Oreochromis niloticus: one gene and its partner. The protein of the gene in region 1 purifies or fractionates together with the protein of each later gene. This does not show direct contact. Links are inferred from orthologs where the notes say so. Each region holds a gene or a part of one and is shown in the gene's direction. Other genes may lie near its edges.

The links.
Region 2: the proteins of neurl4 (region 1) and znrd2 purify together in Homo sapiens (co-immunoprecipitation; 4 studies listed by BioGRID and IntAct, with this or other methods). This does not show direct contact. The link is inferred for Oreochromis niloticus from reciprocal best matches to the Homo sapiens genes NEURL4 and ZNRD2.

What each region holds. Positions count from the first base shown.
Region 1 is NC_031967.2:17,604,372-17,612,158, reverse strand, and holds the start of neurl4 (neuralized-like protein 4), read left to right. Parts: upstream 1-4,775; 5' UTR 4,776-4,947; coding exon 4,948-5,163; intron 5,164-7,787. Other genes in the region: shbg (sex hormone-binding globulin), read left to right, coding at 230-337, 1,145-1,242, 1,489-1,678, 2,173-2,334, 2,482-2,638, 2,866-3,002, 3,130-3,331, 3,456-3,592. UniProt on the Homo sapiens protein: Promotes CCP110 ubiquitination and proteasome-dependent degradation. By counteracting accumulation of CP110, maintains normal centriolar homeostasis and preventing formation of ectopic microtubular organizing centers.
Region 2 is NC_031975.2:19,046,013-19,053,927, forward strand, and holds the start of znrd2 (protein ZNRD2), read left to right. Parts: upstream 1-4,896; 5' UTR 4,897-5,016; coding exon 5,017-5,032; intron 5,033-5,464; coding exon 5,465-5,616; intron 5,617-7,915. UniProt on the Homo sapiens protein: Might play a role in mitosis. Antigenic molecule. Could be a centromere-associated protein. May induce anti-centromere antibodies.

The sequences.
Region 1 (7,787 bases):
TGGTCTCAACCAACGCGGCCTTCCGGCCTCAGGGATCGATAGCTTGCCCTGACCAGAGATGCCCTCTGGATCCCGGGAGTTGTGACAGCACACGCCAGCGCACTGCACACTGCACACTTTTCCATAATCCCTCTGCTCCTCATCTTAACTCGACCTCCATCTGCATCGCAGTGTAGCCGGACCAACCGTGAGCTGTGGGGACTGAACGCTGCGAGGCCTGGGTCAGTGAATGTGCTGCGGGATGACTTGGAAAGCAATGGCAGGTGCACTGCTGCTCACTCTGAACCTTATTTTGCTGGGGTGGGGAGCTGAGGGCCAGGGAAACGGACGTGATAAGGTATGTTACTGCGATACACAATGCCTAGAATTAAAATGTGCACTCTGTGTGTGTGTGTGTAGGAAGTATCATCTATATGCACCTTTTCAGCCTTTAATGAAGTCCCTGATTCTCTGCAGAAGCATGGATGACTCTAGTGACATATATTGTTTCTGCACACTTACATGCTACAGCTCCTGATCATTGGAAATATCTGCATGTATCATTTAGATACATCTTTTTCTTTGAGAAAAATCTACTTTGTTGGCTCATAGGTTATGTTTTAAAGAATAAAAGTCTAAAAGTCCTGAGCTAACTCATACTGTATCCAGCTCATGTGCCAATCAAAAGGGGAGGGGGGATCCCATCATTTGCTTAGACTTTGCTCAGTTTGCTCAGTTTGCAGACACATCGGCATAATTAAGATAAGAGAGGAAATACTTTACTTTTGTCCCAGTTTCTGGAAATTACTAACACAAAAAGAAAAGCAAGACTTGTTTTTCCTCTTAAATGTTCTACATACACATGGTTCATATCCACAAGTGAATGTTGTGTGGTTGCTCTTGTCAATGAAATGCAGTGATGTGGCACTTCATCACCACTTAATAATTTGCGCACACTGCTCTGTTCAGCTTTTTTTTAAAGTCGAATCAATAACTGAATAAATTTCATCTCTCGGTTTAATGTGGTTTTAACGAGCAGCCAATGAAGATCTCTGAGTGTAAAATACTGAGGCCGAGTTCGATAAATGAGAGCTGCGTGTAATAAAAAGCTGTGAGTAACGACCTAAGTGTCAGATCAGTGCGAGATGAAGCTTGTGTCTTCCAGAAAGAGGTGCCGGGCAGTTCTACCGTCTATCTGGGCCAGAACACGCACGACTGGAGGCCGCTGATCCACACAACGGTCAACCTTAGTCAGATCGGCAGGTACGTGAGCGATGGAGCAAATCAGTGCACCGTTAAGCCTGCACAGCAGCTCCTCTGTGGGCATAAAGGTGCACACAATTCTTCTGGGATTTCAAATTAAAACGTGACCTTGAAGTTCAGTTTTTACTGAACAGGCGTACATGAGCTCTCTAAGATCAGTCAAAGATAAATAAGGCAGGTTGTCTTATTAATGCACCAATGAGCAGCCTTCACTCCAATTTACTGTATCTTTATTCTGCCACGCAGCATCAAATCCTCCTTTCAGTTCCGGACATTTGACCCAGAAGGTCTGGTTTTCTACGGAGACACACAAAACGGGGATGACTGGTTTGTTTTGTCGCTGAAAGACGGCGTCCCCCTGATGCAGATCAACAAAGAAGGCGTGCTCGTCAGCGTAGCGGGCACCCCGAGGCTCAATGACGGGAAATGGCACACAGTAAGCATCCAGTGATCACTTGGAAATCAGTTTGCTGAACTCTAATTGGCTAAAGAACTGCTTTATGATGCTTTTTAAAAACTCGCCCCCTTATCCTTTTCCTTATTTTCTATATTTTCATATATATATATATATATTCTCACAGTAATGGATGTTCATATTAAATATTGAGGTCAGTTTATATGCAAATTATTATGGTTATGGTCATATAAGGAACACAGCTGTGAGCACACAAATCCCGCCCATCTGCTGCTCGTGGTTTGTTTGCAAGAGACAGCCAATCAGAAGAAAGCTGGAGTAGCCTTGAAGGGGGAGTGGCTAAAACTGCTGGTTTCAGGCAGGGAGAGAACTCTGGAGCTGCACAAAGGCTCCGTATAAGAAATTATGAAGGGCTCCTTGAGAGCGCGAGAACAAAACCATGTTCGAAATGAGCATAACAGCTCATCTTAAAACTGGCTAACTGTACCGTTTGTTGTTCTCTTGATGCCACCAAGATGGAAGTGAGCAACCAGGGCAAGTTCGTAATTCTGGAGGTGGATGGCACTGGCGGGCTGGTGGTGGGCATGCATTCCAAGCAGATAGAGGAGGTCATTCACGGTAAATTACGACTGTCCCTTGGCGGGATGCTGATCGGCAAAGAAAAGATGATTGTTCAGGTACTTTGTGTATTTTGCACCTTTTGTTTTAAACCACACTTCAGCTGCAAATAGACCAGATGCTGTTTTCCTCTCCTTGGACAAGACCTCTGGAAAATAGCTTCTTGAACATGTCTGAATCATCCACCTCGTGCCCTCTTCCTTTAGTTCAATCCCAAAATGGATGGCTGTGTGCGGAAAGGCAACTGGCTGAACCTCACCGTCCCATGGGTGGCAGAGGCAGACGAGCTCCAGCCTTGCTATGAAAACATCCAACCTGGCAGCTACTTCCCTGGCACAGGATTTGCCATTTTCAACACCTCAGGTGGGAACACTCTGCTAAATTATCCCAGATACGAGCAAGTGTTTACACTCCTTTATTCAATAACAAGCTTTCCAGCTGGCCCGGATATTGCATTTATGCATGATATGGCATCTCGGGTAGCAATATTTCTCCTACTTCTAAGTAGTACTCCTTCTAATCAGATTCAGCACGTTAATTTGTATTTATTTAACCAACTCAACACATCCACACATTTCTTTTTTTCCCAGATTTCCAGATCGATGAAGATCACGGGGTCCGTATTGAACTGTGGGGGGATTTCAGCCAGATGGACGGGACCCTTTTGAGCATCAAAGCTGATGGGGAGGAGCTCGTGTTCTCTGTGGTAGCTGATAATAACACAAAGGTATCCACATAAGTCAGATGTATTTGCCCTCGAAGCAGGATTATTAACTTAGAAATGATGTTTGTTTCATGCAAATAACACACACAGATCAGTGTACGTCACAGTTCTGTTTCCATTTGGCATGCAGGACTTCACATTCACCTCTAGAGAAGAGGTGCTCACCATGAAGAACACTTTCAAGAGGCTCCAAATTAAGTTTCAGAAGGATTCGCTGAGGGTGGTTAAACATGAGGATGAATCATCGGCTGATTTTTCAGTCAGTGCAGGGAGCAACACCAGTTATTTATCAGCTTGGAGAGATGGTCATCTTGCCATTGGAGGCCTTTTGGGTGAGATTGCAGCTTTAAAGTATTTCAGTCTAATCCTGTATCACTGTGCAGCAACACAAAAAAAGGATCTGCTCTGTGTAACTCGTGAAGACGATCAATTTCTTCATCTATTTTGTCTTTTCAGGTGAGAATGACGACGATGTCGGCTCCAAGTTCTTGACAGGCTGTCTGGAGAAGATCCAGGTCCAAGGGAAGGATTTGGATCTGGATTCGGCGCGCGTCAAACACGTGTCCGTTTCCTCTCACAGCTGCCCCGCTTAAACCACGAAAGCATGCTTACACTTTATGGTATGCTGAGTAGACATGGTGTTTGCAGTGATGAGCACTAAAGTGTTTTAAGTCAGAATTTTATACTTGTACCAGTGAATCTCCAAAGTGTAAATAATTTAGTGCTAAATATTAATATTTTATGAGATGTCTCTTCCACTTTCCCACTTTTAACACAACATACAGATAAATCTGATAAATGTGAGCAGTTTTGTGACCCTGGTACGTGCAACAGCAAGCTGCTGAATAAAATATGACTTTCCCTAAAGTGGTTTCTGATACATATTCATTTTTCTGGTATATTTTAAGGCAAAATAGAGGCGTAAGATGTGTTTGAGGATTGTAATCCTCAAACACATGAAACAGATCTTATTTTGTTATGAACACCTTTATTCTTCAGTTTATTCTTCTTCAGTTTTTTGTTGTTGTTTTTTTTTTGTAATTTCTTTTAATAGTCTCCAGGAATAGTTGTCCAGGCTTCCTGAAGGACATTCAAGGCTCTTCTTTGGATGGTCGAGGCTACCATCACTGAGTGTAGTCGATGTCTTTTAAAGCCAAATTTTAATTCTAATTTTCTTCAATTCTTTCAACTTAGGTTCAGCCAGTCTTTTCACGCATGCCTCACAAGAACCCGCTCGCTGTCGCCGAGTGACTGATCTTAGACATGAAAATTGCTCCCTCTAGTGGTTAATTAAATATAATGTTAAATTCATCAGAGCCTTGTGTATGACGTCATCTATCCCATAAATTAGATACACGGAAAAAGTACAAATATTACTCATCAACTTTAAATTATAAAAGAAGAAAAGAAGAAAGACTATAGCAAATATGAATGAAATGTTCAAGATCAGTTTCAGTTAAAATTATGTCTGTATTCACTTATCGCTGCAAGAAGTCATCAAAATGTTATGTGCAGCTTTGAAATGAACTGGAAGATGTGAAAGGTCGGGCAACACAGACAGATAAATAGATTTATTTTCATTCAAAACATTATATACATTTGTTTCCCAAGACAGCGTTAAACTAGCAGTAAATAGAATAAAAAAATATAATAACACCTATTAATATTTAACTAGACAATCATATAATAATAAAAACACATACATAAAGCGATAAAATGCAAACTGATAACGAACGTGACTCTAACTGTAGTTAAAGTAGAAAGTTTTTAGCCCTCGAGCCAATAAAGTGAGAAATAATCAAAAGTGTACAATGAGGCTACGGTGAATGTAGAAGCGTTAGCTTCTGAACCAAAGCGTTTATATAGGCTTTAAAATGACGCCACGCTTTCAGTCATTAAAGCCTGCGGTGCGGTTGCTAACGATTCCACATATCTGCCGGCTGCCATAATGTTACTGTCGCAAAGCCTCGCTGTCGTGAATACTGGCCGCCCACTGAAGATGGCGGCGGAGCTGCATCCGCGGAGCGGAAAGCTGATCGGCCTGTCCAACTCGAACCGAACCGCCCGTCGCAACCAGCCAGTCCAGGAGTTCAATCACGGCCTGGTGCTTAGCAAAGAGCCGCTGAGGGACCGGGATGTCTTCACCGTCCGCATTGACAAGAAGGTAAACAAACTGCAGGCCCGTTGCTGGCTCCTCTGAGCGTGTGTGAGGGCAGCGGGACGGGAGCGGAGCTGGAGGGACGAGCCGGGGGTCTGTGGCTGTCCGCGGTCTAAAGCTACTGCTGCTGCTAGGGCGGCACACACAGGGCTTGACAGTAGCCGCAGTGTTTACGGCTCCTCAGGCTTTAATTAGATACACCGACAGAGACTGGGGAGGACCGCAGGGAGCTGATAAACAGCCTGCTGTGGGCTGGATGTGATAAACGAGTCTCCTAGCTAACGATAGCCCGCCCGTGTTGCCTTGGTGCCGTCAGATAGCCGTGCTAATGAGCCGCTAGCAGGCTGGCCAGGGCTAGCCTTTCTGGAAGGTGCTACGAGGGCTTTGTCTGGCGCTGACAGGGACCCGGTATCGTTTTATCGCGTGAAAGAATCCCAGCTAAGCCGGTAAGTGCGGCTCTTTTAGGGCTTGTTTTGAAGGATCGGTCGCCTGTCAGGCTGTCTGTCCGATGGCTAATAACACTGCAGTGTTCACGCCACACGGGGCTATCGTAGTGACTCAGAGGCCATGTGTGAACAGTACACAGTGACTACACCGAGGCTGTTACCACTGTCATTAATATTAACCAGAGCCTGTGTGCTGAAAGCCTCAGCTCTGCAGCCTCCGCTCACCTCTGTGCGTATGCAAAGCGTCTGCAGACCGCTAGAATTGCTGCTCAAAAAGTGGAGCACGGAGGTGACTACTTCATGCTGTTACTCATTAATTACATGCACTCTTTCGGCTGACTTCACAACCATTTAAACACAAAATCACGGATATCATGTGTCTAACTTTACTAGACCTGCTGCTGTTAACAGTTTTCATCATCAAGTTAAGTGCAGGTGATCTCTTTCCTTTCTTTTCCCTTCATTTCCAGTCAAAGTCCTGCCTCTCCTCCATCACAAGTGCAAAGAGAGCTTACAGCTACAGTTCACATCCACTGATGAAGCTTAAACCAGTTTTTAATTATGTAATTTTGCAGGTAGAGGTGGCCTAATGTTCTGTTTCCTTGAATTAGCAGCCTTGACCTTGTTATCTCCATGCATTAAGAGTGCCTGTGCAGAGTGTTTACATTTCAGTTGTGGAAAACCTCCGTTGTAATGGCTTCTGTCTCTGCAGTCGGCCTCCCAGCTGCGCTTGCCAACAACATGGCAGCACTGGAGTCAGTGCCAAAGCCAACTGGGCCCCACACACACACGAAATGACAGTGTGTCCAGCCGTCTAAAAGCATAGCGTGTGTGCACGTAAAGCATCTGGCTTAATAGCACCTGCTGCACGTTAGATAATTATGCATCCCTGGTGGAGCTCTCAGCCTGATAAAGGCTCTCATAAACAGGCTCCCGCCCCGTCTTTGCATGCATTGCCAGTCTGAAAATCAATAGTTTGTCATCATGGAGCACCCGCTGGTATGACTCTGAGTGCTGACGTCCAGGGTGGGGGGACGTAAACACATGAGGGGGAATGAAGTGATTTATTGGAGCAGGACTCTGCGGGTGTTTTTTCACTTGAGGAAGAAAGAAATGATCTATGATAGGATTCAGCAGAAGATCCAACTAGTGAGATGGAATACTCTGTCACGCGTTTTGCATACTGGGAGTTACTTAAAGCTAAAATGATTAGCTGTGTTTTGTCTTGTGTGACAGTATCAAGTTTTGAATTGTGCTTAATGTGATGAGTAGATCAATATAATTGGCACTAATATCTACTTTGAAATGCTACTTTTCTTGCTGTTACTGTTTAATTACGAGTTAACGCTAAAGTCATAGGTTTTCAAGTCTAACGTGTTTTTAAAAGCACACAAATTCAGCAAGTTGTGCCACTTTGTGTTCCTCACAGTCATGCCGATCTGGCTGGAAAATGTTTATTCGCTCCCAAATGGGAGTTTGTTGTTGTGAGAATTTGTGCCCCAAAAGCTGAGCCTCTGCGTTTCCTCTCTCTAGCGGTGCTCCCCATAGGTGGTGCTTTTGAAATCGACAGGCTATAAACTTCTCTGTTTCCCTATAAAAGATGCTCTGTTGTCCCGCTCAGTGTGTATATTTGCAGCCTGCGATTATTAGTCTTTTAGAGTCGAGTCGAGTGAAAGACTGGGAGGCAGACGCCCACAGGCTGCTGTTACGTAAGCGAGAGCGCGAGGGAAGGAGATGTCTGTCTCCTCCACACACACAGACCCGGTCAGCCTGAGCTACTCCCAGATCTGTTAACCCAGATACCCTGGCTGCGGTAGCACACTGCCTTACATAGCACCTGCCGCGGAGCTGAGGAAGAGGTGGGCAGGAGGAGGCTGACTGTAGTGTTAAAAAAAAAAATGGTATTGATCCTGGGGAAAGTGTCTTTGGCACAGAAGTCAGCTGCAGAAAAACATCCCAGGAGCTGGAAGGGTTTCAGTGATCGGTCACGGTCATCTCTTACACTGGAGTCCTACTGGGGGTGGGGTGGGGGTGGGGGGGTTATGACTGAGCATAAAGCTGAGGCTTTTATCCACCGCTGAGGTTTTTGTCAGATCCCTTTCTCCTTGAGCAGCAGGTGGAGTGCAGCGAGCCAGGAGACGAGTCCTCGTCGAGACGACAGGGGTTCGTGGCTCTGTGTCGGCG
Region 2 (7,915 bases), on another chromosome or scaffold:
CGGAATGTGGGGCCTCCCTGCTGCTGCTGAGTCAGGGCAGTCTGCTTCTCTCCACCCCAGAGAAAAGGGTAACACTACCTGGGTCTGGGTGCAGTTTCCCCCTCCAGGGGCAAGGGTACCTAGACCTGGGGTTTAGAGTACGCTTGGGGAGTGTGATTGTGTGTACACTGTCTGTTTATGTCTGTCTCCACATTGGGTGAGTGTTGAGTAATTGCATATGAGAGCATGAGGGTGGGAATGGATGTTTGTATCTGTTCTTTGTGTCCGGGGATGGGCGTCCGGGTACACACCGGCTCACTCCTGGTGGCTGCTTGTCGGGGCCTGGAGCCCGGGGCTCGCTCGGGCCACTTCGGGGGTGGGGGGCCACTTCGGGGGTGGGGTGCCCTCGGCCTCTCGGCCTAGGGCTCGGTCACTCTGGCACAGCTGGCTGCCGGCGGAGCTCACAGGCACGTCACTGCAACCCCCCCCCCGGCTTCTCTCTCGCTCTTTCCGGGATAGTGGCGCGGCTGCCCCTCTGTTGGTCTTCCTTGGTCTCTTGTGTTCTGAGGGCCTCTGGATGTCTGGAGTTTTGATCTCCTCCATACCTGCTTCATGCCCTGGAGGACGGGGCTGTCGCCCCCCACACCCTCTAGCAGATCATTACATGAAGGAACCTTTTAAATACAAGCGCACTCATGCTCACAGGTGTACACACAAACTACACCCTTTTTGGCTCCTACCTCAAAGCACACTGTGCGCTGTCGATCTTACGTGCTGCACAATAATGTTTAATATTTAGTATTTACTGTTATATTCCCATAGATCATCGTGATGATGTTGTTTATTATATTGCTCTCTTTTTTTCTGCTTGTTTTCTCTTTTTTCTTTCTCAACAGGTGATCCAGGTGATTGATATATGTATTTCTTGTCTGCTTATTTTGTTGGTTTTTGTTTTTTGCCCTTTTCCTCTTTCCCGCTGTTTTTCTTTCCCTTTCTTTCGCCCCTTTCTTTTCCCCAGTCAAGTCTGTCCCGTATTTAGCAAGTGAAAATAAAATAAAATAAACAATAAAAGGTGAATCAAATAGACCATTACGGCAAGGCTGGGATGGTCCATTTGGTAAAGTAAATCCGTTGGGCATCTTCTTCACCTTTAGACAATAATTCTGATGGCAAAAGAGCCAAACGGGACAGGCAAAAAAAAAAAAAAAAAATTCATGGAATTTTACGATAAAAACTGTCCAACAATAAAATGCAACAGAAAGCACAAAAATTCAGATAGACCATGGATCACTAAGGGTTTACAAAAGAAAAATACACTCTATAGGGAATTCCTAAAACAAAGAACAAAAGATGCTGAAAATAAATATAAAAAATACAAAAATAAGTTGACCAATATTATATGTGTATGTAGAAAGGAGTATTATAGTAAAACATTGATCAACAATAAACATAATATGAAGGGAATATGGGATGTTTTAAACTGTATCATTAAAAAAAAAGTATCACAACTCGAGCCAACCGGAAGCCATGGCTAACAGGAGATGTCCACAGGCTGCTGAAGGCCAGAGACAAGGCCTTCAGAGCTGGGGATGAAATAGGCCTGAGAACAGCGAGAGCCAACCTGTCCCGTGGCATCAGGAAAGCGAAACAGGACTACACACACAAGATAACCTCCCACTTCAATGATAGCAAGGACGCACGAAGCCTATGGCAAGGCATCCAGGCTATTACAGACTACAAGCCTGCAGCGCGTAGCTGTGAGAGCGACACCACTCTGCTCAACAACCTGAACAGCTTCTTTGCACGATTTGAAGCACAGAACAACACACGCCCACAGAAAACACCACCACCTCCACACGACCAGCCTCTGTGCCTGTCTGCTGCCAGCGTGAAGAGGACACTCATCACCATCAACGCCCGGAAAGCAGCGGGTCCAGATAACATCCCTGGTAGTGTGCTGAAAGACTGCGCAGAGGAGCTGAAGGATGTCTTCACAGACATCTTTAACATCTCCCTGAGGCAAGCCACTGTCCCATCATGCTTCAAGACTGCCACCATCATACCTGTGCCAAAGAAACCATCCCCAGCCTGTTTCAACGACTACCGCCCCGTGGCACTGACACCCATTATCATGAAGTGCTTTGAACGACTAGTCATGTCACACATCAAATCCACCCTGCCTCCCACCCTGGACCCATACCAGTTTGCATACAGAGCGAAACGATCCACAGAAGATGCAATCTGCTCTGCCCTCCACCCAGCCCTAACTCACCTGGACAAGAAAGACTCATATGTGAGAATGCTATTCATAGACTTCAGCTCAGCATTCAACACCATAATACCACAACAACTCATCTGTAAACTGGACAGACTGGGCCTCAGCACCTCCCTCTGCAACTGGCTGCTGGATTTCCTCAGCCAGAGGCCTCAAGCGGTGCGTGTGGGCAACAAGGTCTCAAACAGCATCACCCTGAGCACGGGGGCTCCACAAGGCTGTGTGCTCAGTCCTCTGCTCTTCACCCTGCTGACACATGACTGCACAACAACCTACAGCTCCAACCACCTTGTGAAGTTTGCGGACGACACAACGCTGGTGGGGCTCATCACCAAGGGCGATGAGACCCACTACAGGAAAGAGGTTGAGCTCCTGACCACGTGGTGCAGAGACAACAACCTCCTGCTAAATGTTAGCAAGACCAAGGAGGTTATTGTCAACTTCCAGAGAGACCACACCTGTCACCCCCCATTGACCATCGACGGCGCTGCGGTGGAGAGGGTGAGCAGCACCAAGTTCCTGGGGGTGCACATCAGTGAGGACCTCTCCTGGACCACCAACACAGCATCACTGGCCAAGAAAGCACAACAGCGCCTCTACTTCCTGCGCAAACTCAAGCGGGCAAGTGCTCCACCACCCATCCTGACCACATTCTACAGAGGAACCACTGAAAGCATCCTTTTCAGCTGCATCACTGTGTGGGGCGGTAGCTGCACTGACTATAACAGAAAAGCTCTACAGCGCATTGTGAGAACAGCTGAGAGGATAGTTGGTGTACCACTCCCCTCCCTGCAAGACATCTACACCACCCGCCTTACCCGCAAAGCCATCACAATTGTCAACGATGCAACCCACCCCGCGCACTGCCTGTTCAGCCTCCTGCCCTCCGGAAAAAGATACAGAAGTCTCCGCTCCCGCACTACCAGGCTCACCAACAGCTTCATCCACCAGGCTGTGAGACTGCTGAACTCTCTCCCCTCCCGGCTCCCAGCCAGCAGAACCACCAGACTGGCAGGAGTATAGGAAGACAGACTGGACCCCCCCCCACACACACACACACACTCCACAACAAGGAAACACTCTCCACATTCCTGACTGGAAACGACTACCTCTGCATTACAATTGCACACACCTGCTGCTATATATTTTTAGTATTTTCTTTAGCACTATTTATATTATTTATATTACTATTACTGCTGCTACAGTCTTATGCTGCATTAAAACAAAAACACTTACCAACCACAACCTGGGACTACGTCAAGTAGACAAGTACACTACTTTCCAGGGCGCACTGTGGAACACTTTATTATATGTTATGTGTAGGTCCTGTCTTGTTACATCCTGTATGTACCTAAATGTTGTGCATCTGCACTTTATTGTTGTCTATGTCTACGCATGGGACAGTGTGAAACGTAATTTCAATTCCTTTGTATGGCAAGTACATCTGAAGAAATTGACAAATAAAACTGACTTTGACTTTGACTTTGAAAAATAATTCTGGACAACAAAGTTAACCTCAACATTTTACTGAAAATGGCAATATTATGGAAAACACTGCTGATGTGGTCAACAGCTTTAATCATTATTTTGTAAATATTGGACCAAATCTGGCAGAACAAATTCCTGAGTCACTGCCATCAGTAGACTGTAGTGAATGCCTGATTGATAGGAACCCTAACTTAATGTTCCTCACAGCAGTGGAGGAAAAAGAAATAACTGACACTGTACACATGTGTAAATATAAAACATCTACTGATTGTAATGATATTGACATGAAAATCGTCAAGAAGGTCATAGAAGGAATTGTAGGACCTCTAACATATATTTGCAACTTATCATTTCAGACTGGAAAAGTTCCAAACAAAATGAAAATAGCTAAAGTTGTGCCGCTGTATAAAACTGGGGATAGACACCACTTCACAAATTACAGGCCTGTTTCTTTACTACCACAATTCTCCAAAATCCTAGAAAACCTGTTTAATAAACGATTAGACAAATTCTTAGATAAACATAAATTACTCTCTGACAGTCAATATTTCATTTCATTTCATTTCATTTCATTTATTTATTTCACGCTTGGTACAACAGTATATATATATGCTAACAAATTAATAAATAAATAAATAAATAAAAATACACGTAACATATAATGTAATTAGGTATTTCTGTAGTCTATTGATTACTAGATAGTGGAAAAGGGGTGGGATTAAATAAGCTTATGCTTCTTCCTGCTCCTTTTTGAACATGAAAGTTATTTGTAGTTGTGGTTGCTCGTTTTCCTTTTGTTTTGCTTTGTTTATTTGTCTGTTTTTAATTCTATGTTGTTGTACTTTTTCAACATGTTCAAAATAAAGATTCAATCAATCAATCAATCAATGGTGTGGCCCATCAGCTTTATCCCTCTCTAGTGCACTTCCATTTCTCAGGCATCCTTTCAGTCTTCAAAATTGTGCTATACTTTTTAGCACAAGACTGCTCTCACTCTCTTAATAATTTATTACAATAATAAGAAAAAGAATAAGAATAATATGAGAAGTTTAGCTGAAACGATTTAATTGTTTGGTTTAATTAACTAATCAGCACACGGTGGCGCTTTTGCTACCATTTTTGAACATAACATAAATAACTCTTGTGGTATTTACCAATATTTACCACTAGGGGCAGGCAGCTGTGCTCAAATATTTGCCGAACGCAGAAGAGGAAGAAGAAGCGTTGCATTGCGTGACTCCGTCATCACGTACAACGTGTAGCACAGAAGAAACATGGCTTTGAATGGAGGTTTGTGAACTTGTGTTATAAAAACAAGCTGACTTTGACATTTCTGTTGCTTGCCTGCATTGTGATTTAAAAAAGAAATTATTTTTATTGAGGCTGTTCCTCTGGGTTACTTTATTTTTGCTTTTAAATTCGTCGCTGCCAGCGTAAACATGTTGTTAGCCAAACGGTAGCCCGGCTGGTTTGCTAGCTAGCTTGTCATTTCCTAGCAGAGCAGTTCACCTGTGATAGTCACACTTCAAAACAGTGCCAAAAAGGTTTTGTAATAATCCCGCTGAAACGGTAAAGTAGAAGCAGACATATAATAGTATCCACAAGTTACAGCAGCGCTTAAGACTGTTTATAATCCTAAAGTATTAAGAATACGAAAGAAGGAGAGTTCTGGTCTGAAATCTGAAAATAAAATTAAACGTTCTGGCTGTTACTGACCTGCAGATGAAGAGGATTTTAAGTGGGAGCCTCCAACAGAAGCAGAAATGAAGGTGATCCAGGCTCGTAGGGAGCGGCAAGACAAAATCAGCAAGCTGATGGGAGACTACCTGCTGAAAGGGTACAAGATGCTTGGAGACTGCTGCGAAGTGTGTGGGGTGAGTGAAGCAGGACGCTGTGCTGTGTTTGTCAGGTTGGGCGAGTTAGCCTCTGAAATTTTATCACGGTCGTTTATTAAATATGCAATAGTTATATTTCTAAGTATATAGAAAAATATGAACGTTCTGTGATTGCAGCTCCCAGCCAGCAGCATTCATAAATGCAAACAAAATGAAGACTGCCTAATTTGAAGTGTGGATCTATTGTCACAAGATGCCAGCAGGGTTATAGTGTAATAGTACTGACACTGCATGATAAACAGTTAGAGAGCAAAGGCCAAATGTAAGCCCAGAAATGGCTTAAATAATGTAATCCCTGGAAATTTTCAGTAAGCGCTTAAAAAAAGGTTAAAATAATAGCAGTTTCACAGCAACTATTCCAACTAAAGGAACTTAACCTGGACCTAATAAAATTAAATAATATTTTCTACCTGGGATGTCATAGCTTAGTTGAGCTTTTTAACCACCTGTTTAACACAGGAAGGAGGTCATTTTGACCCTCTTGGCATTTTAAAAGTTGTGTAACTTTGTTAAATTAAAACCCCATCATCATCTCGTATTTCATCAAATACTGAATTTTGGAGTGTGGGATCAAAAGGGAAAAATATTATGAGTGCTTTTACCTAGAACCACGGAGGACATCATTTTGACCCCATAGAAACTGATGTGAAACCACTGCTGCAGCACACAGGGTTGCCTAGCAATACCGTGTTTACACATGAGCCAGACCTTGCCAGATATGATTGATTAAAAACAGTATGTAGGGGGACTGTAGTTAGAGCCAAGGTAAATAATTATTGCAAGGCTGAGGATGGGATTTCAAGCCGAAGAGGAGTGGTACAGAGCGCTGTATGACTGAATGTGTGAGGAACCAGGAAGGTTGATGGCTGTGCAGAGCAGCAGAGGAGCCGTAGCTGAACTGAATAGAGAGCCTAGAGGATGCAGAGCTAATCCGAGCAAATAAAGAGTGAAATCCAGAGCACAGCAACCAAATCTGTTTTACTCTTGAGCAGGAGAGGTGAAGAGCTGCAGACTGAGGCAGAGGAGTGAGCACACAGATTTGGTGATCAAATTTAACTACTGAGGGTTCTAGTGTTCATCTATAAGCGTTACAGTTCTGTTAGGATGTCCCAAAAGGGGAAATCTGATAAGTATTACAAACACATAAATATAGAAAAAAAACCCTAAATAAATAGGGTAAAGTGTGAATTTTATAAGTTAGTTTTAATGTGAAGATGGCACAGATAGATCTTTCAAACTATATAAGATTTGTACATTTATATTTTCGTCATCATTTTTTCTCTCTTTTCTTCATCTGCCTCATTCACCACTTCTCTCTTCTCCCTTATGCCCACCTCATCCTCTTCCTGCTCACCTGTAGTCTCATCTCGTGAGCTGAATTACATGCTTTAACATAAGAAAATGTCAATAAACATACTTATTTAGTCCAGATTTTACCTGGTTGTCAGCAGATTAGACACTCCTGTCTCCAGACAGCTGGCAACATACCAACTATAACAACACCACCTGGTTATACGCTAACATTGTGCCAGCTAAATAAAAATCCAATATTCCCTCCGATAAACAGTTTGATTACACTCTCACATCGTCTGAGATTTTATTCATACAGGCTGACAGCGTTAGAGCCACTTAAAAGAAAGCTTCTCACACAAGCTCACATCAGGGAAAAACGAAAAAGCAGCGTTTATTGACAGAGAAGTAACAACAACTCGCCATCAGTAAGGAGTGAGCTTCTCTGACTCATTGACTCATCACAAGCTTTTACACCCTCCTTCAGAGTAAATGCACATGGGGGATTCTCACCCAGCATATTGACAGCTGAGGTAAACGGTGATCCGAGAGTCTTCACTTACTACACATGAATGCCAGACAAAGTGACTGGGATGAAAACGTGAAATATCGCCTAATGTTTAATTGAAATGTGTCTTTTTTTTCCCCTAATTTGTTGTTAGGTGTCAGTGTTATTCAAATATTTTAAAATATAGTGTGTACACAAATAGTAGTAGAAACATGCATTTAAGGGGAAGTTTAGAGCAACTGTTATGGGGTGTAGAGGGTTAAAACCGTCCTTTACCACCATATTAACTGCATCAGTAATTTCAATCCGCTGTACGCTCTTCCTGTCATGTGGAGTGCCCCAGCGATGCTCAGCGGAGTCATGTTTACATTTGGTTTCACATCACCAGCTGCAGATATCTCTTTTTTTGTTTGACTTGTATTACACAGTGTATTTTTGCCTCAAGCAGTGAAACTACTTTTTTTTTTTTTCCTTTTGTGA